Linked DNA regions of Schizosaccharomyces pombe. The protein of the gene in region 3 binds, or shares a complex with, the protein of the main gene of each other region. Each region holds a gene or a part of one and is shown on either strand. Other genes may lie near its edges. The genes, in order: rad4, hta2 and mdb1. A codon is read from its position in the direction of its gene.

Region 1 (12,604 bases), 1.8 Mb from region 3:
TGTTAGGGTGTTTCGTGCTTGGAAGACAGCTCATCAATTAGTCCATGACAGGGTATGTATTTGATAATCTTTTTTCTTCAAACATATTAGAATTATTAACAACTATTATAACTTAGGGTTACGGCGTTTCTCAAGCTGAATTAGATTTGACGTTGGATCAATTCAAGGCCATGCATTGTGGCATGGGTCGTAATTTAGAGTATGTACATTTATTTAAATCCATCGTGATAATGGATTAAACAATCCGATTGATTATAGAAGCAAATTCTGTTGATATCTGCGTATATGTCCATAGACGCCGGTATTTATAAATCGGTTTACTCTTAATCTGCTTTCTAATTGATGAACATGCTTCTTCTAAACTTCCTTTATCAATTTTTTTTTAAAAACTGTTTTGCTAATGCGTTTAGTCGTACAACTTTGAGTTTTTACGCAAAACCTTCCAATGATTCAAATAAAGGCACAATCTATATCGAATTTGCAAAAGAGCCCTCCGTTGGTATTAAAGAAATGAGAACTTTTGTTCATACTTTAGGTGATCATAATCATAAAACTGGTATTCTAATTTATGCCAATTCCATGACCCCAAGTGCCGCTAAAATCATTGCTACTGTCACCGGCCAGTTTACCATTGAGACTTTCCAAGAAAGCGATTTGATTGTCAACATTACTCATCATGAGCTTGTTCCTAAACATATTCTTCTTTCACCGGATGAGAAAAAAGAACTTTTAGACCGCTACAAGTTACGTGAAACTCAATTACCCCGTATTCAACTAGCTGATCCTGTTGCTCGTTATCTTGGTTTAAAAAGGGGAGAAGTTGTGAAGATTGTCAGAAGAAGTGAAACTAGTGGCCGTTATAATAGCTACAGAATTTGTGCATAATTTTAATTGGTACATGTGGGCTAGAAATATCGCTTCAAAACTACCATCTCTTTCTTTTTCTTAAAAAATTTCAATTTGAACATAATAATTTAAAATTCAAATCGAATAAAGCAATGTCTATAGCTATTACAATGAGCTTAAATTTTTGGATTAGATAGTTTTTAGAACAATACTTTATTAGTGATTTATTCAATAAAACATCAAGGGTTGGCATTCACGTTTACTTTTTATTACCAAAAGTAGATAGTTTATAGTCAGTACTGCTTTGTATCAATATTTCATTAAGTTATCATAGCACAAACGACTGTTTAAACCGAAGACTAAAGCATCTTCTTCTTGCTGGTACTTATTTTAAGCAAGCTAAAAATAAGTTTTATTATAGGTATACTAGAAAATAGGCATACTCGAATCTAATAAAGTGTGAAGGTTGAAAAGTTTGGCGTTCGTTAAAGTTTTAAGGACATTATCAGAAGTTGAAGCAAAGGACAGCCACTCCTTTCAACTATCATCATCAGGAAACTCCCACAAGTAACAATCAACACAATTCGGTGTGTGTGAGCAATCTGGTAATTTTTCGTATGCATCTATAACATCATTCAAAACAGTTTGCATACGATGGTGGGTAATAGAAAGATGCCACCCTTTGTCCTTTACAACATCATATAAACATTCCTGTCCTGTATGACAAGTTGATTCCATCGCATAACCTCCGGCCCAGCATAATGAAGTTGGACCTGTGCATTTGCCCAAATATATTGGATCAGCATTGTGACCAAAATGCCATACTAAACTTTCTTCGTCCGGTAATCCTGGAGGCATTGGAAGATGAAGACGTCGGGCAGCCATTCGATCACCAGGTGCTTCAAAAGTGACTGTTGGAATTCCAAAAGAAAGTCCCATTAAAGCGGCAGTAGCGCCACCTAATGAGTGTCCAGTCAGCCAAATCTGTGCATCAGGGTATAATTCTTTAACACTATAAAAAATATCCAATGATGCAGAATAATACCTTGAGTCATCTTGCACTTCATCCTCAAGGCAAGTTTGACTACAGGTGTATGTATTTTTATAGCAACCACAAACCGTAGACCAAGCCCAGCTGACACGAGCGCAACAACAGGAAAAAAGTAAATTGTCATTAACGCGATCCTTCTGCGAGGTACCGCGTCCGATTCCGAAGATGGACGTACCTTTCATCGCAATAATTATAGTGGAATTGTCATCATTGGAAAAAACATGTCCACGTAGACCATCTTCCTCCCAACCAAATCCTTCAGGTGGAGTTATATTCCAATCAGGTCCTAAATCTAACCAGTCCCCGTCGAAAGGAATTTTTTGGTAAGCATTGTAGCTCATCTTTCCAAGGGAGTAAATCGTTTCTTTATCAGTAATATCAGGAATCACGATTGCTTCCTGTTCCCATAAATCAGCTGGTGAATTCGCTTCAGAATAAATTCCTTTCATAGACTTATATCTATAATCAGTCAACGCATCGCGAGACTGATCCTTCAAGTGAACGGAATATCCTTTCTTCATTTTCAACGGCAATTTTGATTCACTCTCTGCGTAAACACTTTTCTTGGCCACATCTAGTCGATAATATGATATACTGTCCTCATTGAGTCCGTAATGAAATACATGCTGTAATTTGACATTAACCTTATCAGGCACATTTTCCGAAGATTTGATAACACTTTCAAATACTCCTGTACAACTAATCCTAATGATGAAACAAAAAAGGAAGAAAAAGCGCCTCAAGAATAGCAATTGAGACATTGCATGAATAGTTTGCTTTCCTTTTGTTTAAAAGAGCAACCGAAAAACGTTATGCGAATCTAATCCTCAATTCTAATAAATACAATGGGATAATTCAATGATTATGCTTTATCAGCTCATGTACATGCTTAACTCGTTTATGTTGCTCATAAATAGATGTTTTAAGTTACTTAACGCCTTTGGTAAGCAATAATTAATACATTACACTGCAGTAAGTTACGCATCATAGCGTGGTGTTGTATGCTGATAATGTCGCTATTTGATATAATATCTAGGTAATGGACACTGTAATTTGTGAATTTAGGATGAATGTATGGCATACAGGTTTTGTGACATGTTCTTCATAACGATACCGGAGCCTTAGACTATAATAATGCTATGATTGTAAGATTTATTTATATTGTTCCTAAATACGGCAATGTTCCTTCTCAGAAAAGACTTTGCAAATGTAACATGTTTTGCTATGGAGGACAAGGTATGAATTAATCATCCTTCGCTTTATAGTAGCACATTAGGTGCTTTTTATTCCCATGCTTAGCGGTAACCTATTTAATGGCAATAATGAACGCTTGAAATTTAACTATATTAGCAGTATGCGCAGCTCTTGTTGTTTCCCTAAAAGAATAAAGTCATATATGGATATATTCTCCTACATACGCATACTGATAACGATATCAACGTAAACATTTTTAAAGTCAGTTGGAAGAATTTAGATGTCCAATCTGAATTTTCTGTTTTTAAAGTCACCAAGACCTTCCAAATACAAATGCAAATCAGCAGTTTTGTTCAGCGTCAGAACCTTAGTTAGCATGATCTTTATCGTTATTTTAGCGATAAACATTTTTTCAAAGAAGTGCTAGGTCTCGTAAATAAAAAATAAAGACACATTGCATTGCAAAGTTTGCTTAACACTATTGAAGTTGAATTTTTATGTCTAGTAAACACTGAACTCTGGTTTGTGAGTAAATTATTGTTTGTAATGGGGAAAAGAAATAAAAAGGTATGATACTTTGTTAATCGGCCTTCTTTTTTTTTTTTAACAAAGATAGGTGACTCAGGGCAAAAGGGCTTACAATGACAAAAGTGAAATTGTCTTAGAGTAAGTGTACAAAGGTGCTTTTTTACGGGGTTTAAAGCTTTATTGGGATATTTTTAAGAAATACATTGAAAAGATCATTATTGTAGGAAATAGTCAGCTAACATGCAGAAATAAACAATTCGAAGGTTACTATAAAAAGCAAAATTTATTTCGAGGAAAGCCAAATGATGAGTTTGATAGCTTTATGGAATATATGAGAAAGCCCTTACCAACTACATTTCGTATTTGTGGATATCGTCACCATGCTTTTGAACTAAAAAACCATTTTGAAAAATACTACGTACCAAGCCTTAAAAATGTCGTCCATGAGGGTCAAACTATTCCACCTCCAACAGTGCTGCCTTGGTACCCAGATGGTCTTGCATATATTGTCGATGCGCAAAAAGATGTTATTCGAAAGAGCCCGCCTCTTAAACGACTTCAGCGGTTTCTTGTAAGTGAAAATGAAGCTGGAAACATTAATCGTCAAGAAGCGGTTAGCATGCTTCCTCCTCTATTCTTAGACGTTGAGCCACATCATGTAATTCTGGATATGTGTGCTGCTCCGGGATCTAAGACTGCGCAGCTTATTGAAGCTGTTTATAAAAAAGCCAATATCAAGGATGCTGCTCATGACAGCAAAAATCTCAAGAGTGTTGAAGGTCTTGTAATTGCTAATGACGCTGATCCCAAACGAGCCCAAATGCTTGTTCACCAAATCAATCGTTTAAATTCCCCGAATATTTTGGTTGTTAATCACGATGCATCGACAATGCCCAATATCTATGTCAAAGGTTCATCTCCTTCTGACGGCTTAAATGTAATTGAAGAAAAAAAAATTTTAAAGTTTGACCGTATTTTAGCCGACGTGCCTTGTTCAGGAGATGGCACTTTCCGCAAAAATTTGTCTCTTTGGAGGGAATGGAGTGCCAATAGCGCCTTTAGCCTTCACCCTTTGCAATTGAGAATTTTGATCAGAGGATTGCAACTTTTAAAAGTGGGTGGTTGTTTGGTTTACTCAACATGCTCCATTAATCCCATAGAAAATGAAGCTGTTGTAACAGCTGCATTGAAGGCTACTGGTGGTGCAGTTTCTCTTGTTGATGTGTCTAAAAAACTACCCCTACTTAAGCGTGATCCCGGTCTTTTATCTTGGAAGGTTTTGGATGATTCTCTTAACGAATTTCAATCACCTGCTGAGAACACCAATGATAAGATCGAGTTAACCGAATCCATGTGGCCTCTTCCTGAGGAGGAAATGAGCAAACTCCACATAGAAAGATGGTAGGTTTATTTGCCTGGATGAGAACTTTGAAACTTTATCATTTTCTAATCTCTTAATAGTGCCAGACTATATCCCCATATGCAGAATACTGGTGGTTTTTTTGTGGCCGTACTCCAAAAAACTGATCCTATTAATTCCCGTTCGTTTGATCCCAAAAAGTATACTGCTAGTATGGAAATTCTACCACCCGAGAACAAGAGACAAAGGACGGAAAAGGGTGTTGACGAAGCTTCTAATTCTACATTAACTAAATCTGGCAACAGTTATTTTGATGAAGAGCCCTTCGTATACATTAATCCTGATGATACTAGCATCAAAACTATTGTGTAAGTTATATTACCATGGCAGGCAAACTAACCCATAGTGATTTTTATGGTATCGATCCTAGTTTTCCCCGTGATCAATTTTTTGTTAGAAATCAAAGCGGTATTCCCGTTAGATCAATTTATTTTGCATGTTCTTTGTTCAAAGAAATTATTGAAGCCAACACGAATCGTGTGAAATTCGTGCACGGCGGTGTTAGATTCTTTGTAAAGCAGGAAATCAGTCAACTGTTGAAAGATTTCTCGCTAAAAGCTAACAAAGATATTTGCAATTTTCGTATTCATAGTAACGGTGTCAATATCATTAGCCCTTTCTTAAACGAGAAGCATTTTTACGATGCTGGGTTAAAAGATTTAAAAATTTTGGTTAAAAACGAGTACCCACATGTTGAGCAGTTTTCTGAGAGCGGAATGTTAAAAAAGGAATTTGAAAAAATGCCTCTAGGATGTAACATCCTTAGAGTGGATGCTCAAACAAAAGATGGTGCACTCATGGATATGTTAATATTACAGCCTATCTGGCGAAGCCCTACGAGCTGTAATTTAATGCTTGCTAGAAAAGAGAAGCAGTAAGTCACGTTTAATGTTTTTTGTTACTAACTTTAAGAAATCTTTCGTTGGAATTATTTGGAATGGACGTGTAAAAATAATTAAACTTGACATAAACTATACATATAAATAAACAATGTTTCAACGCCTACGGAGTTTTCGATGACTCTCGGTAATTAATAGAAGCCCATTTTCTTGATTTTGGAGATCATTAGCAGGCGGGATAGCATCTACATTAGAAGTCAACTGAGCATAAAGCTTATGTTTCTCACGTTGAGCGTCTGGATCTATATATGAAACATGCTCTTGTGGAGATGTCGGAGTTTCTGGTTTTGTAACTGATGACTTCCAAACAGTATCAATCTTGTCGCCCGGTACTGTCACGGATCTCCGAGGAAATATGGTTGAATCTTTTGAATTAGAATTTAGTTGAATCAATGTATTAGACCTAATATGGTTGTTTTGGCGCTTTTTAACCGATAATAAGGAAGGAGAATTATGAGGCGTAGAATGTCCTATTGGCTGCTGAGCAAGAGAATTTTGTAATCGTGTATCTCTATCAGACGTTGGAAATACCATATTATTTTGGTTTGTAAATTTTTTTATTTCTTGATTTTCTTTCTTATCGATAGCCCATGGAGAAACTTGATCAATGAATTTTCCGCTTTGAATGATGTTCCATAACCAAGCTACTCCGACGACTCTAACGTTCCATTCTGTAGCATGTTGTATTTTAAATCTAGTTTTCATACTGAAAGGTTCATTTGTGTTTACCAACAAAATACTTCGTTGGACCCCAAGAAATTCATGCACAACTGCTCCCAAGATGGTGAGAGCCTTCTTCAAATGCGAAAGTTCTTCCCCCTTAAATCCAGTAAGATGAATGCTAAGACCATTAAAATAAGGAACCAGAGATGGACGAAAAAAAGGTTTTGCTAAGGCATGTTCATCGATTCCAAAGATTTTTTTGTAATAAAGACACCTTTCTATCCACCACTCATTAACTGTAGGAAATGAGAAGATGGGCAATTCATCGACAGGGAAATAATGAGGTATAACGACAAAATCAATGGTAGAAGACAAAAATTCAGAAATCTGGCCTCCATTATCGCTCAAACATTTATGAAGCCTGGAGACCTTAGTGTTTGGAAACTCGTAAAGATAAAAAGTCAAATTTTTAAAAAGTTTAGCTTCGTTTTCGATGTTGAGTTCCGTATCTAATTCGTTTTCTTCTAAGGGTTGAACAGTTTCGGGAGTGAAATCATCCAGTAGTACTGAATTTTCTTCAGAACGGCTGGAAAATTCAAATTTTCCATTATTAAGTTCTTCCCATAAAATACTTCTATCTCTCTTCTTTCCCCGTTTCATAATCACGGGTTCTAAATCCGCTTCCTCCGCCAATGCAGCCAAGGATTGACCAGACTTTTCTTTATTCTTGCTTATTTTTTGGTTTTCAGAATAAGACTTTGCCTCCGTAGTATTGGGATCTAGACGAACATACGCGCCAAGTCCAATTTTTTCGGCTGGCATATCCAATTGGAAATACTGCGGCTCAAGGACAGCATTCCTTTGTATACTTTGCCATAACCATTCAACGCAAACTACGTTGATTTTCCACTTTAATGCATATTCATATTTGCGACCCGATGAGGTGCCAGCTATTAAATGAGTTACGTCTCTAGTTAAGTCAGGGCAAAATGTACCACCATGCTTAAGCACATAATTTTCAATACGAGATCTCTCTGGTTGGCCAATGTTGGTAAGACAAACCCGGCATTTAAATAGAGTTGGTAGAAAGTGTTTATCGACGAGCAGGCCATCATCCAGATCTTCTCCCTGTACCCAGCTTTCATAAAGAACAGGTATCCATTCACTAGACATAATCTTTATGTCTGGTCTGGATTTTGCGGCAAACTATTGAAAAGAATGTCAGCATTTACTCTTGAAGGATAGTGTAATTTGTAAGATTTTACGACATACCTTGTATTTTGGAGTATCAAAATCGCCGGCTATAAGATGCGTGACATCCTTAGTAAAGTCTGATCTATAGGCAGCACCAAGTTTAGTTGCTTTTGTAGATATCTCGGTCTGTCAAGTTAGTAACACAAATAACAAAAAATGCGATTCGTCGTGCAAAAATCTTACCCTTTGCTTTAAATCGATACTGGTACAACATATCACGAAGCCTTTGAGTGGTTTAGAAGAACCCATTCTTTCACTACCGACATTTATGAGTTCTAGGTGAGTAGGTATAGGTAATTTACGAGTACAAACGCGTCCATCACCACTACATATTATTGTGAGGAAATGCAAAAATTGGTAATGTTTAAAAGGGAAAATAAAGAATGTTTAGAGAAAATCGACTTTCGAAGGTTAAGAGTAGATTGAAGCTAAAACCAAGTTGTTATATGCTACCGTGGTGGGTGCGAAGATTGACAAATGGAGAGTCATAAAAGGCCAAAATTAAATTTTAAGCATTTATTCGAAAAACTCGACTGTATTGGCAATGTACACGATGCTGTATAGCTGAGTAGCATCATTGGTTTGGGGGAAATTATGAACAAGCACCAAGAGCTGGCTATTATATTATTCCTCATTTAACCTGTATCATAATTATAAGATTTATTGAGTAAGAAGATAGTATATGGACACCACCTTTGTCCTATATTCTCTCGGTAAAAAATATCCTCTTATCCAGTTTAATATTTATATTGGATTTTAGTAACGCAAAGGGATATTGCCCTAAAGGGTTCATAGTTATATGGAATATAACATAATATTACAATTTAAATGTAAGATGAATTTATTGATAATCTGAGCATCCCATTATCTTTAATTTCAATTAAACCAAGTCTAACTTTAAGATTGTGTATGGCATTTCGTGTATACAAGTTTGTTTACCAGCAGTGGCAATTGCTCAAGCTTACCATTAAAGCAAATACTTTTAAAGCAAAAGTTTGATTTTACAAAAAAACCGTAAGTATTCCATTCTAAATTGCTTCTTTCGTATATCTATACTCTTGTCGCTGCAAGCCATACAAGACCTACTTGCTTGGTAAAATAGGGCAGCAGTACGTACTGTAAGTCACCTTTAACAAAACACCACTTGTTGAATAAAAAGTTCATTAATCGGCGAACCTATCGCCTATATTAGATTAAAGGTCTAAAAACAAAGCATTGAGGGAATAGGTACTATTTCCTCTTTTTTAAGTCACAATGGATACGAATTCTCCGAAATCTATTGATAAAGATGCAAATTCGACTGAGGTAGATGCAGCTGAGCAAGATGCTGCTTCAGTTAAAATCAATTCTACCCGTGCATCCCCCAATGGAAGTGACTTGCTGAATGATGATTCTGAAGCTGCTAAAATTACTACAAATGAAAAACAGAGTTCTCCCGTGGATTCCCATAACGAAAGTCCAAATGATACCACAATTAATAAAGGCGAAGATGGGAATGAAAACGAAGTCGATAATGTAAATAACAATGACAAAAAAGAAGATGAGGATAATGTTGAAGAAAACGAGGAAGAAGCTGATGCAAACGAAGAGGAAGAAGAGGATGAAGAAGATGATGAGGAAGACGAGGAAGATGAAGATGAATCAGGTGGCGGTAGAAGAAAAAGGGCTCGCCATGACCGCCGCAACCAATTCCTTGATATTGAAGCAGAAGTAGATGAGGACGAGGAAGAGCTTGAAGATGAGGAAGATGAAATTGGTCGTGAAGATGGTTTCATTGAAGAAGAAGTTGGAGCGGATTACGTCGGTGATGATCGTCGCCATCGTGAACTTGACCGTCAAAGACAGGAACTACAATCTGTTGATGCTGAACGCCTTGCTGAGGAGTATCGTGAAAAGTATGGTCGTAGCCAAACTGTTGTTGGAGATACAAGCAATGTTCCCCAACGTCTTCTACTTCCTTCAGTGAATGATCCCAATATTTGGGCTGTTCGCTGTAAAATTGGCAAAGAAAAGGATATTGTTTTTACCATAATGCGGAAAGCTATGGATTTGCAATATACTAGCTCTCCATTAGAAATCATTTCAGCATTTCAACGTGACTCGCTGGTCGGTTATATATACGTTGAAGCTCGAAAGCAATCACATGTTCTAGATGCACTTAATGGGGTTTTAAATGTTTATACAAATAACATGATTTTAGTTCCAATTAAGGAAATGCCGGATTTACTCAAAGTTCAAAAACAGGTTGTTGAACTGTTGCCTGGTGCATATGTGCGTATACGCCGTGGAAAGTACGCCGGTGATCTCGCTCAGGTTGACAACCTTTCAGAAAATGGTTTAACCGCACGTGTACGTATAGTTCCTCGTATTGATTATTCCGATGGGTTGAAACGAAAGAATTCTGCCACTCGTCCTCAAGCAAGACTCTTTAATGAAAGCGAAGCATTTAAAAGCAATCCTTCTAAGTTTTCTAAACGTGGTCCTAGACTTTTCCTCTTCAACAATGAAGAGTTCGAAGATGGATTTTTGGTAAAGGACATTCGTATTTCCTCACTGATAACTGAAGGAGTTAATCCTACACTTGACGAGGTATCCAAATTCAATCCTAATAATGAGGATTTGGATCTCAGCTCTTTGGCTCTCAGCGTCAAAGGGGGCCATGCTGAATTTCAGCCTGGAGATCATGTCGAGGTATATGTTGGTGAGCAGACTGGAGTAAGTGGTGTTGTTGAAAATGTTCGAGGTAGCGTTATTACCATGGTATCCTCTGATGGTTTACGGTTAGATGTACCATCTCGGGGCCTGAGGAAAAGGTTTAGACATGGTGATTATGTAAAAGTTATAGCAGGAAAGTACAAGGATGACACCGGTATGGTTGTCCGCATTTCAAAGGACGAAGTTACTTTTTTGAGTGATACTCTTATGACTGAGTTGACTGTATTTTCTCGTGATTTAGGCGAAGCTAGTTCTGCACAAGCTGTTAACTCTGCATATGAATTACATGATTTAGTGCAGCTGGATGTTAACACGGTTGCCTGCATTTTTTCTGTCGATCGTGATACGTACAAAGTTATTGATCAGAATGGAGGGGTTAGAACGGTTCTTGCTTCTCAAATTACCATGCGCCATTCCAATCGCCGAGGTGTGGCTACAGATAGAAATGGGGCTGAAATTCGGATTGGCGACAAAGTAAAAGAGGTTGGAGGAGAGGGAAAGCAGGGAACGATCTTGCACATATACAGAGCTTTTGTTTTCTTGCATAACAGAGATATCGCAGAGAATAATGGTGTATTTTCCGCTCGCAGTCGTAACGTAGCAACAATTGCGGCAAAGGGTGCCCGTATTTCAGCAGATTTGACGAAAATGAATCCAGCTTTATCCAATGGGCCGGCTTTGCCTCCGGTTGCTAACTTGAAAAGAACGATTGGACGTGACAAAGCTATTGGCGCTACTGTACGCATCCGCAGAGGTCCTATGAAAGGATTACTTGGCGTTATTAAGGATACTACTGATGCAAATGCACGTGTTGAGTTACATACGGGAAACAAAATGGTTACAATTCCTAAAGAAAACCTGCTATATACTACTAAGACTGGTGAATTGATTAGCTATACCGAATTTATTGAGCGTTCTAGAGGAATAAGACCTGGTAGTATCAGCACCGCTGATGGACCAAATGTACCAAACTGGGCCCAAGGAGCCCGTACGCCTGCTGTTGCAAATGGTTCACGCACTCCAGCTTGGAATACTGGAAGTCGCACACCTGCGTGGAATTCTGGTTCAAAGACACCTGCGTGGAATTCTGGAAGTCGCACCCCAGCGTGGAACTCTGGGAATAAAACTCCTGCTTGGAATGCTGGCAGTAGAACACCTGCTTGGAATTCCGGAAATAAAACTCCTGCATGGAATGTTGGCAACAAAACCCCTGCTTGGAATAGTGGTGCTAAAACGCCTGCATGGAATGCTGGTAATAAAACTCCGTCCTGGAACAATGGTACTAAGACTCCAGCTTGGAATGCTAATCAGACACCTATGGTTGCTAATGGCACTAACACCTCATGGGGACAAACCCCTGCATACGGGGGATTCAGTGAAACTAACTGGGATACCGAAGATAATTCAAAGCCCTATACTGCTCCTACACCTGGTGCGTGGGCTGCTCCCACACCAGGTGGTTGGGATGATGAAGAAGGAGATTCACCCAAATATGTACCTCCTTCTCCTTAATTTAAAATCAAATTTTTGAAAATATCGACAGATAGTTTTGTTAAAATTGTTAAGACATATTCTAATTAACGTAATCTTGTTAATAATATTAAAATGATACGCACTTTACCAAAATGCATATATGTATATTTAAAAAAACTGAATCTCATAAAAGCATACATTAAATATTTGTAACTTTAACATAAACATACTTATAACATCGATGGCATGCCATCATCATCCTGAACTTTAGACCACTTCTGATTTATTTTATTAAGAATAGATTCAGGCACGGCGACATGACTAGAGTGTAGGTCTTGATGGTAAATAGGCCTAGGCAAATTTCTAATAACAGGAGCCTTCGGGTTATGACTATGAGATTGGCCCTCAACTTTAGTTAAATTGTCAAGTTCATCCTGATCTTCATCAGAACTTTCAGAAGATGCTTCCTTTTGATCGACTACAACTTTTTTTCCTGAAAGACTAATCGACAATACCTTCTTTTTTTTCTTTTCCTTTTTAGCCATGGCCTTTTGCATTCTA
Region 2 (6,768 bases), 1.2 Mb from region 3:
TTTCTCAACTCGCAAATCGTTTGACTTCTAGGGAATTATATGATTTTTTCGAACAAGCTGGTCCTGTTCGCGATGCTCAAATTGTTCGAGACAAGATTAGCGGACGATCGAAAGGGTATGTCTTATAATTTTTTTTTTTTTTTTAAATAGATATTATTCTGTTTTTTTTTATTTTTCAAATTGGGTTCGTTTGCTAACGAATATAATATAGTGTTGCATATGTGGAGTTCTGTCACGAGGATTCTGTACAGGCGGCTATTGCGCTTTCTGGTAAGCGATTGTTGGGTCTTCCTGTCATTGTACAACTTACAGAGGCTGAAAAAAATAGAAAAGCTCGTGAAGCTGCTGAGTAAGTTTTTACTAAGCATCCATTATTTTTGTCTAACTTATTTGTAGATTGGCACGAGCCGCTAGCGCTGAAATTCCATTTCACAGATTGTGTGTCTCAAACATTCACTTCAACCTTACTGATGAAGATGTTAAGGCAATTTTCGAACCTTTTGGCGACATAGAATTTGTACACCTTCAGCGTGATGATCAAAACCGAAGCAAGGGTTTTGGTTATATACAGTATGTTTTCAAAAAATTAGATTGATATTTATATCTATTTAACTTCAACGACACTAACATTATATTTTTTAGATATCGAAATCCTATAAGTGCGAGAAATGCTTTGGAGAAAATGAATGGCTTTGATTTAGCCGGAAGAAATATGAGGGTTTGTTTGGGCAATGATAAATTTACTACAGAAACAACTAGTTCCATGCTGAAGCGCTTTGACGAAACGTTGGCTCGCCAAGAACGTAGTCAACCTTCTCAACGTAATGGCGGTTCATCAACCTACGAATCACAAGACTATCGAGAAGCAGCTCCTTTATCTCCTACTGAAGAAGAAAGCCGTCCCATTACAAGAGATGAGCTAATGAAAAAGTTAGCACGCTCTGAAGACATTTCAGACAACAGGTATGTCTTGTTTTAACTTGGATCCTTTTTGTCTTCTAACATAAAGCAGTAAACTGGTATCTGAACCAGAGCCTCCAATTCGTAGTAGATGTGCATTATTAGAAAACATGTTTAATCCTGCTGAGTACGTTTTTTTTATGATTCATAATTGACTAACCTTTAAAGGGAAACATCACCTAATTGGGTGCAAGAATTGGAGCAGGACGTCAAAGAAGAGTGTGATGAAAAGTACGGCAAAGTAGTTCACATTGCTGTTGTACCGAATGAATTGGGGCAGATATTTGTAAAATTTGAAAATGCCGATTTTGCTGAAAAGGCAATCACTGGACTCCATCAACGTTGGTTCGGAGGGCGTACAATAAAGGCATCCATTTTACCGGAAACGGATTACTACTTCAAATTCCCTAATGCCAAAACTGCTTAAACGTCGCTCTCTACTAAACTTTGCTCTGGAATTGATGTGTTTTACCTTTTCTCAGAAAGTTCTTTTAAAACAAAGCTTTTTGTACTTTTGCACGTCCTGTTATATTTAGTTTAAACTACGATGGTCGATATTTAGTAGCAGACTTTTCTTTTTCCGTAAAATTAAGAGTATACTTAGTTTAATAAAATCATAAATATGTACATATATTGATTGAATTTTAATTATGTCTAACTAAATACATTCGACGAATTTGCAGGATCATATATTATAAGGTAGTATACAATCGTTCTAATCATAGTTACTGTGTCTTTTATATATTCCCTAAATATACTTAACGAAATTCGTTGTGCGTTCCAAATGCTGAGTATAATATCACTGAAACGAGTCTGCTATCATTCAGTGATGAATGCCCATAAACATCCATCAAAACCCTAACCCTGTATATTGCTGTATATAAAAGAGCTTGTCGCTGCATCATCTTCTTCTTCTCTAAATATTGGGCAATTGAGCAATCCTGCATACATTATTCCAATTTAAAACTTAAGTAATTTCTTTATCAAGCATGTCTGGAGGTAAATCTGGTGGTAAGGCCGCAGTCGCCAAGTCTGCTCAATCTCGTTCCGCTAAGGCTGGTTTGGCCTTCCCTGTCGGTCGTGTTCATCGTTTGTTGCGTAAGGGTAATTATGCTCAACGTGTTGGTGCTGGTGCTCCCGTTTACTTGGCTGCCGTCTTGGAGTATTTAGCTGCCGAAATCCTCGAATTGGCCGGTAATGCTGCTCGTGATAACAAGAAGACTCGTATCATTCCCCGTCATCTTCAATTGGCTATTCGCAATGACGAAGAATTGAACAAACTACTTGGTCATGTTACTATTGCCCAGGGTGGTGTTGTACCTAATATCAACGCTCATCTCTTGCCCAAACAATCTGGTAAGGGCAAGCCTAGCCAAGAGCTTTAAACTCTTAAATGAATGATAAATTGTATATTAAGATTATTTGTCGTTTATACTTAACTATTATTATACCACACTAATTGCTTGAACTGTTGGTTTCGTGACTTAATTCGTTCACACCTTTTTTTACGCAATTTCTCTATCAGAAATTTAGTTTTATCATTATATCAGTGATACAGAAACAAGTGCATTATTCGGTTGAGAAACTTTTTCATATGACTCATAATTCTTACGTTTTTATTTGGTTACATACTCTGTTTCAAGCTTAGTTGTTTGTACAGTACATTATTCGAGTTTGAATGATTGTTAGGTTTCCTGATGGTTGATTGACGCTTTCTTTTCTCGTTTGATGAACTTTCCGTGTTTTCCTCTTCCCTTTATTATACATTTCCTTTTTCAGCTTCCTTTGTATAGGCATAATTTGTTTATTATAGGTTTATTTTAATGAAAGAACTATTGGTTCAATATTCGCTAAACTTTTTGAGGTGCTTGTAGCATGTAATTACACTGCGTATTGTCTAGGTGCCTAAACATCAACCCAGATATATGGATTTGAATGAGTTTGGTGATTTATTATTGGTATAATTTAATTATGGTAGTAGTAACAGGGGCATTTAGGAAGTTGCAATTCAAAACATGCAAAACATGAATACTTCCAAAGCACAAAACATTTCAAAACTCTAGGGGGTTATATTTTTAATAATCTAACTATCTATAAAGCACCAAAGAAAGAATAAAATAATAAAAAGAAGATAATGTGAAAAAAGAACAAAACCAGTGAAGTGATTGCTTTAATGAAGCAATAATTATATATAACCAAGGATAAATCCATATTCCACTGCTTACGAGGATATTTAAAAAGGCTTGAGAATTTCCATAACTTTTTCGTAAACAGTGAATACAATACCACCACTGAGAATCAAACGAGCCAAACGGGGAGTAGCACCAGACCAGAAACGCAACAGACCATCTTGAGTTAAAATCTTATAAGCGCAATGAATACTGTTTTTGTATTCCTTACTAGCACTCAAAGATTGCATACGACTCTTGACAGTATCGATGGGTTGCGTACAATAAACGGTAATAATACCAGCTACAGAACCGACTAAGAAAGTGGTAACGGTACTCAACTTCTCATCTGGTGGTAATCTGCTTTGAAGGGATTGCTTGATACTATTATAGGCAGTAAAACGTACACCAGAATTAGCAGCTTGACGAGCGACAGTTGCAGCGAGACCACGATAAAGCCCACGAATACCATTCTCATGGACAATAATTCTTGAGGCTTGTAAAAAGCCCTTTAAACGGGGATTTGGACGCTTGCGATCATCGATGATCGCCGTTTTGATACTCTCAAAAGGAGTTAGTACCAAAACTGACTCGGCGACACCAGCGCCCAACCCGGCGAGGACAGTACGAGGACCAGTCAAATGTCCGTGTTCATCTGAAAGAGACTTTTTAATGCTATCGAATGCAAAAAATCGTACTGCAGCTTTAAGGGAATTTCCGACGATTACTGTGGAACAACCACGATACCATTCTAGTCCAAAAGGTGGTAATTTCGCTTTAGTGCCTTCAACGTTACGATATAATTGAAGACGAGTTTTGGCAAATTCAGCCGGATAGGTAATGGAAATCTCAATAGCTCCAGCAACACCGCCAGCTATAATGCTTTTTACGGGTCCAGGTTTGTTGGAACTTTTTGGGTTGGTTTTTGCAACAGTCGACATTATCAATTAAAAGTGAAATATAAACAAAAAAGAGAACTTGAAACAAATTATTTTTGGGAGAGTTGTTATGAGTACAAAAAGTTATCTAACGAATGCTTTCAAAAAGATGGGTTCAAGATTAGCACAATACACTGACAACCTATTTGACTAAACCTTTTAATTATTTAATCAAAAGAGGGTACCTTTTCAAGCTTTGATTTGGCAGTAAAACCGACCAAGCAACCGAAAATCGAAGTATGTTGTGGGTAAATAGATGGTGAAAAATTTACGAAGTAATACTTCTTCTTCCTGTGCGACTATACCTTTATTACCACTTTGTTGTACTATCATATAATTTGAATTGTTTCAATATTCTTTAGTTTTCATTTGTAAAATATGTTGTTAGGCTTCAAACCTAACCGGAATGATAGATTGTAATGCTTATTACATGTTGAAGTAGTTTATCATCATCATGGTGATTAGGAGAGCGATTGAGATAAATTAATGTGAGACAAACTAATTTAAGTTTTAAAATAATTCCTTTCAATTCATTTTCAAGTTTTGCTATTTAGGCAAATCAATCATCTCAACCAGTTCATAAACGAATGTTAAGCTTCGTATAGTAAATATAAACAAATAAAACTTATTAAAACTTTGGATCAAAAAACTTATTGTAGAATCCTTCACTCAACTTCGATACAATTGCAGTGTATCAAAAGACTAGATGTTTTGTCTCTATTAGGGCGCTTTCCACATGGTATCTTCAGTCATATTTGTTATATATGCTTATGGTAAGATTTACTATATACGTAAACATATTTAGCCGTCCTCTGTTACATTCATGCAAATTGGATATCATAATAAATGAATCACTAGTGCCTATTCGACTTCTCTGTAATGGCATAGAACAAAATCATTGTCAACATTAACATAATAAATTAAAAACTAACAAACTTATGTAGAAATTTTTATGAATACTTCAATGGGGGACTCGGTAGACTGAACTTGGCAATCATCTTCTGCCACTCCGTTTTCGTAGTTAAAAGCCGCCAGCATAGTTTCTTTCCCGATTGTTACCATTGGTGCATGCCATACCCCAGCGGAATAAGTAACTCCCTGAGCTCCTTTAGCCACAAAAGCCTGAGTTTGGTTCCAGTCAGGCATTCCATCTGGAGCGTTTGGAGCAACAGCAATTAGATAGGCCTGCTCATCGCTTGAGCGACACATCGGTATAAAGGTTTGAGTTGTAAATGGATGTCTTTCAAGCACAGATATTTGAAAGGCTGCGTGCTCGTCATTAGCCGGGTGAACTGAAGGATGTGTGGAAAAAAAATTCCACACGCCTTTCCTGGTCGAAGCACTGGATGATTTTTCATAGTTTTGTATACTTTCTGAAACTTTTAAATACTTTTTTGCTGTACCTCCATTAGCACTAACCATTTTAACATCATCCTTTTGTTGAACCACCGACCCAAACGGAGCAAACGCTTCATCGGTCAAGGCTTGAGCATATATTTTTTTAGCTTCCATGTTTGTTATAAAATTTTTTAAAAGTTGAAACGTAAATTCTTGAACGATTACAATAACCACTTTTAACTAGTCGTTTTGCAAATGCACTGTAAAATCACTATTATCTTTTGAAGTTGTCGATGCTTAGTAAAGTGCTAAGAGTAAGAAAACAATATTTCAGTGGTATAGTTAGATGTTTATGTACAGCATTAATATCCAATGACTAAGGAAAGAATCTTATCGATGATAGTAGCAATGATGAAACCGAAATTACGGAGTGTATTGAAATATGTTTTGGTGACTTTTTCGTCTAATAGAAAAAATACGTTAACGGGTTTCAACATGATTTTCTCTTTAAGAAATAGACAATCAATATGTGTTAGGTTAAAGGGTTTCAAAATATCGTGTGTCAGACGATCAACTATTGTCGCATTTGAATTAAATTAACTATGGAAACGTTATATTTCAACCACTATACATTGCTAAGAATAAAACCGCTATACTATGTGTATATTAACATTTTAGTAACACGGTTTCTACGCTTTGTAAGGATGCTTAGCAGACCAAGCTTGTGCAATTTGCTCTCTGGTTGCAACCCAAACACCCTCCTTTGAGGTGATATGCTCCATTAGCTTTTGAAGGCCACGGAAACGTCCAGGTCGGCCAGTTAAACGGCAATGTAATCCGATTGTCATCATTTTAGGAGCACCTTCCAGCCCCTCTTCATATAAAACGTCAAAGGCATCCCGAGCATAAGTGTAAAAGTCATCAGAATTGCAAAAACCGGGAGCAACTGCATATTTCATGTCATTAACCTCCAAAGTATAGGGGACTATTAAGAGTCCTTTGTCATCTTCAGCACCAGGCTTGCTAGCAAGTGGATCGGCAACCCAATAAGGGTAATCGTCATTGTACTCATCAGAGTCAAAAGGTTGAGGAAGACCCAAATCCTTATAAACCTGACATACAAGTTTACGGGTGTTTAAGCTAGCACGACCCGTATACCAACTACGAGGAGCAGAATTCGAAGGAGAGGCCTTTTGGATAGCTTGCACACTCTTTTTAATATGCTCATATTCAGTTTCGGGAGGAACTCCTTCATAATTAATCCATCTATGAGAATGGGATCCAACTTCGCATCCTGCTTCCTCCATAGCACCAACAACTACTGGGTTTTTCTCAACAGCTTGACCAATAGCCCAGCAAGTAAA
Region 3 (6,210 bases):
TTAGTCAAAGTTTAAAAGTAAAGCAGGAAAGGTGATCACCAGATGCATTTAAGTTAGTGAAAAAGATACTATAAAGGTAGAAATTGTTAATACATGAAGCAAAAAAAATTAAGGGTTTGAATAATCCATTTAAGCGAGATTGTTTTCACCTTAATAAAACCATTAAGGGATAAAAATAAATAAAGTTACAAAAAGGCTTTTTAAATCTTCATTAAAATACTAAAGCGAAATAACTAGGTATCATCCTGCTATATCTCTTTTTGTTTAGGTATATTTGCAAAGTATCAATAAGAAAAAAAAAAAAAAGATTGGAAAGCAAATGATTAGACGGTAAATTCAATACGATCACAGACGTATCCTTGATGGTTGGCCTTGTTTAATTGAATGAGTTCAAGAAAACAGGCCTTTCCCCAACTGGCTTGACCGATTGAAGAAATCGTCTCAATGGGGTCGGAAGTAGAGTAGTCAGAGCAAATACTCTTTGCATAAATGACAGGCATATAGGGATGTTCGATGACATTAAAAGGATCAGAAGTATCGGCCAAGTCATAAGCAGCATTTTGCAATTCTTCCAAGCCGGGAGTTTTCTCTACCTGAATATATACACGTTTGTAGAAGGAATCCCCAATAGCGACTTTGCCGAACTTTATGTTCAAAGGAGACTTGCGCTTGGAAGCGATATATTGCAAAACACTCTTAAACGATTGATTTGGTTTCAGCTTGATACCACGAGCTAAAGTAATGTGAGGAGCGGTAGGTAACTGCATTTCTTCAAAGTCGACTTTGTGACACACAGCCCAGTCGACAAACGTTCGATATCTCAACTCAATATCAGAGGAAATGGCAGGTACGAGCCAAACACAATAACAATGGTCTTCGGAAGAAACTTCAGCAAAACCATGACTTGTAGTCCTATCGGTCAAAGGCTGGGTCCTGAAAAATTGGGGCATGATGAAGGAGAAAGCTAGATTTCCTAATTACAAGGGGCTGGAAAAAATAAAGAGTAAAAAAAATTTAAAAGGTTGTCAGCAGTGAAAATTGTATGCAACGCTATAATGGTGTTGAAAAGAGGAAAAATAAATATAAAATACGTATAAATCCTTCGCCAATTTATTTCAACAAATATGTAGTCAATATTTTGCGTATTTTTTTTAATACCACACTATTCTTCTTTATTAGTAAATGAAACTCCAAAAAAAATTTTCACATACAGTTAAATTTCTGTTTCAAGAGTAAAACCGATATTTCCTTGTTCGCTTCGAAACCTGTCAATGCGCTTTTTTCGATTGCAAGGACAGAACACTAAAAAATATAAAATACACTCAAGCAAAGAATGTATTTAACACTTGATTTATTTTCCAAATTGCTTGTATAAGAAATAGAACTTGATTAATATTGTTGAACAGTGAGTTGGTTCGTTGGTCTGCTTATAACAGCTGGTGCTTTCACCACACTATGATGTCATCGTAGCGATGCGATAAATAGAAACAGCACACAGGTCACTTTCTCGTCCGAGGTTTAGCGCTCATTTGGCCGTGTGCGGAAGCATGTGCGGGTCTCTAAATTCACGCTTTATAAATGGTAAGATGGCGCAAAAAACTGTGTATTCCATTTAACAGCATATTTGGGTAAACCTATAAGTGCCTGATATACATATTGCGCATTTTATGAATAAATTTTATACAGTGAAGTGCAATGCATTGCAGAATCATTTGTTAGATATGCGGTATGCTTGATCTGATATGACGAGTGGATTTGCTGTGTTTTGTAGTCAATAAACAAACAACTAAACCTTTTCAAAAAATAAAATAAAATTGCAAGACTAAAAAGAAGCACTATAATGAGGCCCCTTTATTTTTATGTTTCGGAATTACCTCCTTTTACTTCCTCTTAAAACCGCAAATAAGTATATGCGTTTTTCTACTCATAAAGATTTTTACCTTTTATATCTTTTAATCGTGTAGAAATTTGTTATTTATTTTTATTAACCTTTTGTACTTCATTTCATATCATTTTATTTATTTCTTTATTTGTTTTTTTAATTGAGATGTAATAATTATAAATTTCGGGAATTGGTCAAACTATTTTTTTTCATACATTATCTGGAAAATAGAAAAAAAAGCGTATTGAAATCGATTCATTTATGTTGAGTATCTTGAATTTATTGGTTCAAGATTTTAACAATCAACTAACAGATCGCATATTTCATTAAATAACCGTGTAGGTTTTTTATCCTTCGCCCTTAAATACGCTCGTTTATTTAATATCATTATTAAAATTCTATTTTTGTATAATTTCTAATGGTCCTCCTTCATAGAAGAAACTCAAGAATATATGTTTGCAAATATACTTCTATAAATAAATAATAGACAAAGTAAACGATGTCCTCTTTACCTTTAATTTTATGTTCTTTGCTCCTTTGCACTTGGTTTGTTCCAAGATGAACGAGAGGATCGTTTTCTTCCTTGCCCGGTTCGGGATGCCTTTGAGACATTTCTTTTTCCAATTACTTTGGTGGGACTGTCAGCATCATAGTCAATCAAAAATTCATCAAAATCAATTCGATCACGCAAGATGGATAAAGCTACTAGTTCAATCTTGTACACATTTAAACCAGTAGCACTCATATTCCGTCCTTCTTGATCGTTGTCAGGTTGAGCAAGTATAATTGTGTCCTTCTCTTGAGCCCTTTTAATATCACCAACAATCTATTTAAATCATTAGCCTATCATAACTAGATATTCTCCATCTTTCACTTACCTCAGCTCCAGATGTTTCCAAAATTGAGTAAAGTCCGTGTATAGAATCCCCTACCATCGAATCTCGAATTGCCTTTGTAATGTATAGTCTTTTCCCATTGAAACACGTTCTTCTGTGGATATCGTCCAAACGAAATCCCCACTTGGCTTCTGCTTCCTCGTCTTTATATTTGTAGCTACGAAAATCTAAAACTTTACCTGATTTTATACAGTCTGTCAAGTATTGAGAAGAGACAAGTGGTATACCTAGAGAAGTCGCCAGTAAAAACTTATGTGTCCTCCGAAGTGGAGGTGAACCAAGGATGACAAAGTCGGTTTCGTCTGTGACACTTTCTTGCACCCTTAGACCATTTCTCCTTATAAAACTTTTCATCGGTTTAGTTAGGTTGAAACTCGACGTTACCAGATTTGTGTGCTTGTTTTTATTTTCAACTGCCGAGGACTGCACATTCTTGTCAGGTTGATCCTCTAAAGATGATGAGGGGAAAGAATAATTAGTGGAAATTGGTGCCTCTTCTGCTTCTCTGTTACTTTCATCCTGGGATGTGGATTCCTTCTCTTTGAGAGCGATTTCCGGCGCACTTCTTTTACTTTCTTCATTTTCGTTGGAGGGGGTTAAATCTGGCCTAACCTCTGGATTTACTTCATCACTGTGAATGCTATTGTTCTTTATAGAGCTGTCCGATATGTTTTGCTGTGGATTCACATCCTTCTCAATTGGTGAGTTTATTTCAGCACTTTGCTTTCTATCAAATACCTCTGCTGGCTTCAAGGATGGGTCTCCACTCAATGATTGCGAGACAGAAGAAGGAGATTTTGTTTCTCCTTGTATATAAATTTGGTGTGATTCAATAAATGTTGACTCATCGTCGGTCTTATTCAACTGTTTTTGATCTTCAGAAACAACCTCCTCTTCAGTGTCAGAACTATGGTCGCCTTCCACATGTTGACCGTCCAATACCAATTTTTCGTCCAAATCATTCTCAGAGTTTTCAACTTTAAGAACAGGCTCAGCGGCAGATTGCGATTCTGGAATTCTCTCAGAAAAGAGTTCCTTTTCCAATTCTAAAGCACTTTTTTCTGAAGCGAATCGCGAAAGGGGAATGACCTGGTCAGATCCTTGCCTAATTAAAGAATTGTAATTTTGTTCCAAGTTACTTGAATAATCAATTTGATCTTCATTCGCATTGATCGCTTCAAATTTTTGTTGCTGCAAATTTGGCTTCTGCGGGGTATTAGGGACCTTGGAAAATAGGTTAGTGTCTTTTTGACAATAGTATAATGAGGGAATGCACATACAGTCATAACTCCCATTTTGGATCCTTCATTCACGTTTGCATTATCCTCCTCTAATTTTGAAAAAATTACAGGAGTATCGTTGATTCTTACTCTCTAAAAAAGTATATAATTAGCTTACTCAATTAATCAATAGAAAAAAGATAATACCGTTTCGTCAAAAACATAATAAAGAAGCTTTTTGTCGCTAGCAGATGGAAGCACCGTTGTATCGGCTATTTTAACTATAGCTCGAATATTTCGAATAAAAAGTTGATGTTCTATATTTAAGAATTCAACAAGAACATCATCTGTTTCCATTTCCTTCAGATGGGAACCATCAGTAGCTAGAAAACCCCCAGAATTTACCATCCTACACCTCTGATTTCCAAACTGTATCTCCATTTTACAAATCCTGCTATTGATCGTATAAAAATTTCAAGGAGGAATTAACAATTAATGTTTTGGTTACTGCGTGAAAAAGCTTAGCAACAACTCTGTGATTAATTCATCGAATGGTTAAGAAATGCGTGGTATAGTTACAAGGATAGTGTTGTCAACGCAAAAGTGTCTACCTTCTGTAAATTGTACTAGGAGATACTATTCAAAACAAAAGGATATTTCTATTGTTCGGCAACGATTGGGACGACCTGGAAATCATTTGAAAATTGGCATTGTAGGAATGCCCAACATTGGGAAATCCACCTTATTGTACGTTTGTTCAAGGGTTTAACTGATAAATTTGCTTCATTGATCGGTATTAACAATAAATATAGTCAAATTCTTACAAAGACAAACCTGGGAAATCCTGCTAACTGTACGTTGTCATATTTTAGTCAAGTATTAGTTTTGATTATAAGTGATATAATATTTTGTATTTCTGTTGTCTAACAAAACAAATTTATAAGACCCTTTCGCTACAATCGATCCCGTTCATGCAAAAGCCCCTGTACTTGATTCACAGTATGAATTGCTTTGTGAAATTTATCAGCCTAAAACGCGTATCCCAGCGCAATTAACTATTTATGATACTGCAGGGTTGACAAGGAATTCAAGCAAGGGAGAAGGTCTTGGAAATGCGTTTCTTTCAAACATTAGATCCGTCGATGCTTTGTTTCAATTGGTACGTGCATTTCCAGAGGCTCAAGTTCCTCATGTTGAAAAGTCAGTTGATCCAGTAAGAGATCTACAAATAATACAGGAAGAGCTATTGTTAAAAGACGCAGAGTTTTTAGAATCATATTTAAAAAAGGAGGGCCGCTCGCCCAAAACATGTGCAAAAGCTCTTGATACGGCACGAAGAGCATTAGAAGTAGTATTAGGAAAAGGCCGTCAAATATCTAAAGCTGAATGGAATGACGAGCAGATTCCCATTTTAAATTCTTTAAACTTACTCACTGCCAAACCGGTGGTGTATCTGGTAAATATGGATCAAGACGATTATCTTTCCGATGAACAAGAAGCATTAAAAGGAATCAAAGAATGGGTTGAGAAAAATAGTTTTGGTGATCAAGTGATACCTCTCTCAGTTCTGTTTGAAGAACAGCTATTCATGCTTACGCCTGAAGAGGCGGCGCAGGAATGCGCTAGTTTGGGCAAAAATTCTCAATTATCAGAAATTATTTGTGCGGGATATTCTGCACTTAATTTGATACATTATTTCACAGCTAGTGAAAAAATCGTTCAAGCTTGGACTATTGCCGACGGCTCTAAGGCGCCTGACGCGGCCGGTATAATACATTCAGATTTCAAGAAGAAGTTCGTTGCAGGAGAAGTTATAAAGTTTTCTGATTTCGAAAAGTACAAATCAGTAGATGCTTGTAAAAGCGTAGGAAAGTGCAAAACGAAAGGGAAAGATTATACTGTCGAACCCGGGGATATTATTTTCTGGAAAATTGCTCGTTAGTGATAATCTAAATTAAATTAAATTAATTATAGTAAGATTTCATTAATACCGTTTTCATAATGTTTCTTTTCAAGTGTTTATTAGTTATTTGTTTACAAAACTTTATACTTGTAGGATAGCTTTAATTACATTAAATTATTTAGTGCATCGGTGTATTTTGTTAAATTGGCCTCTAAACAGTAATGCCTACGTACTGTGTGTATGTAAACACATAATTCAACCTATTGCCATATTTCTTACATATTACCCTTTTTTTGGGTGTAATAGCAG

The links.
Region 1: the proteins of mdb1 (region 3) and rad4 are in contact, whole or in part, in a crystal structure (PDB 6HM4), measured with the Schizosaccharomyces pombe proteins. Residues at the interface, in NP_593964.2 of Schizosaccharomyces pombe: Gly106 (codon at 4,070), Val107 (codon at 4,067), Met108 (codon at 4,064), Thr109 (codon at 4,061), Val110 (codon at 4,002), Pro111 (codon at 3,999), Asn112 (codon at 3,996), Thr113 (codon at 3,993); in NP_593190.1 of Schizosaccharomyces pombe: Leu109 (codon at 7,657), Thr110 (codon at 7,654), Asn111 (codon at 7,651), Arg117 (codon at 7,633), Pro133 (codon at 7,585), Asp134 (codon at 7,582), Leu135 (codon at 7,579), Thr136 (codon at 7,576), Arg137 (codon at 7,573), Arg150 (codon at 7,534), Lys151 (codon at 7,531), Tyr154 (codon at 7,522), Trp158 (codon at 7,510).
Region 2: the proteins of mdb1 (region 3) and hta2 are in contact, whole or in part, in a crystal structure (PDB 7P0L), measured with the Schizosaccharomyces pombe proteins. Residues at the interface, in NP_593964.2 of Schizosaccharomyces pombe: Thr391 (codon at 3,159), Ser392 (codon at 3,156), Ser393 (codon at 3,153), Arg430 (codon at 3,042), Arg431 (codon at 3,039), Thr432 (codon at 3,036), His433 (codon at 3,033), Lys434 (codon at 3,030), Leu436 (codon at 3,024), Met505 (codon at 2,817), Asp508 (codon at 2,808), Ser509 (codon at 2,805), Leu513 (codon at 2,793), Ala565 (codon at 2,585); in NP_594421.1 of Schizosaccharomyces pombe: Ser128 (codon at 2,331), Gln129 (codon at 2,334), Glu130 (codon at 2,337), Leu131 (codon at 2,340).

What each region holds. Positions count from the first base shown.
Region 1 is NC_003424.3:1,054,758-1,067,361, forward strand, and holds rad4 (BRCT domain protein Rad4), read right to left. Parts: upstream 8,156-12,604; 5' UTR 8,105-8,155; coding exon 8,039-8,104; intron 7,982-8,038; coding exon 7,874-7,981; intron 7,808-7,873; coding exon 6,035-7,807; 3' UTR 5,989-6,034; coding exon of another isoform or gene 5,952-5,988; 3' UTR 5,914-5,951; coding exon of another isoform or gene 5,386-5,913; 3' UTR 5,348-5,385; coding exon of another isoform or gene 5,081-5,347; 3' UTR 5,021-5,080; downstream 1-5,020. Other genes in the region: DNA-directed RNA polymerase subunit Rpb5, read left to right, coding at 1-52, 117-199, 411-885; autophagy-associated lipase Atg15, read right to left, coding at 1,384-2,658; trm402 (tRNA (cytosine-5-)-methyltransferase), read left to right, coding at 3,638-3,658, 3,708-3,757, 3,866-5,020, 5,081-5,347, 5,386-5,913, 5,952-5,988; DSIF transcription elongation factor complex subunit Spt5, read left to right, coding at 9,110-12,082; transcription coactivator Rqt4, read right to left, coding at 12,274-12,604. UniProt on the Schizosaccharomyces pombe protein: Essential component for DNA replication and also the checkpoint control system which couples S and M phases. May directly or indirectly interact with chromatin proteins to form the complex required for the initiation and/or progression of DNA synthesis.
Region 2 is NC_003424.3:4,048,429-4,055,196, reverse strand, and holds hta2 (histone H2A beta), read left to right. Parts: upstream 1-1,878; 5' UTR 1,879-1,949; coding exon 1,950-2,345; 3' UTR 2,346-2,751; downstream 2,752-6,768. Other genes in the region: RNA-binding protein Rsd1, read left to right, coding at 1-115, 212-349, 397-570, 643-963, 1,013-1,087, 1,129-1,387; mce1 (citrate transporter), read right to left, coding at 3,194-4,069; dal1 (ureidoglycolate hydrolase), read right to left, coding at 5,003-5,578; chitin deacetylase Cda1, read right to left, coding at 6,094-6,768. UniProt on the Schizosaccharomyces pombe protein: Core component of nucleosome which plays a central role in DNA double strand break (DSB) repair. Nucleosomes wrap and compact DNA into chromatin, limiting DNA accessibility to the cellular machineries which require DNA as a template.
Region 3 is NC_003424.3:2,880,782-2,886,991, forward strand, and holds mdb1 (BRCT domain protein Mdb1), read right to left. Parts: upstream 4,561-6,210; 5' UTR 4,440-4,560; coding exon 4,206-4,439; exon of another isoform or gene 4,152-4,205; coding exon 4,059-4,151; exon of another isoform or gene 4,003-4,058; coding exon 2,761-4,002; intron 2,709-2,760; coding exon 2,403-2,708; 3' UTR 2,012-2,402; downstream 1-2,011. Other genes in the region: SPOM_SPACUNK4.15 (2',3'-cyclic-nucleotide 3'-phosphodiesterase), read right to left, coding at 324-950; SPOM_SPACUNK4.13C (NTPase Ylf2), read left to right, coding at 4,561-4,745, 4,811-4,851, 4,943-5,940. UniProt on the Schizosaccharomyces pombe protein: Involved in DNA damage response (DDR) mediated through its interaction with phosphorylated H2A proteins hta1 and hta2 which mark the discrete foci of DNA damage.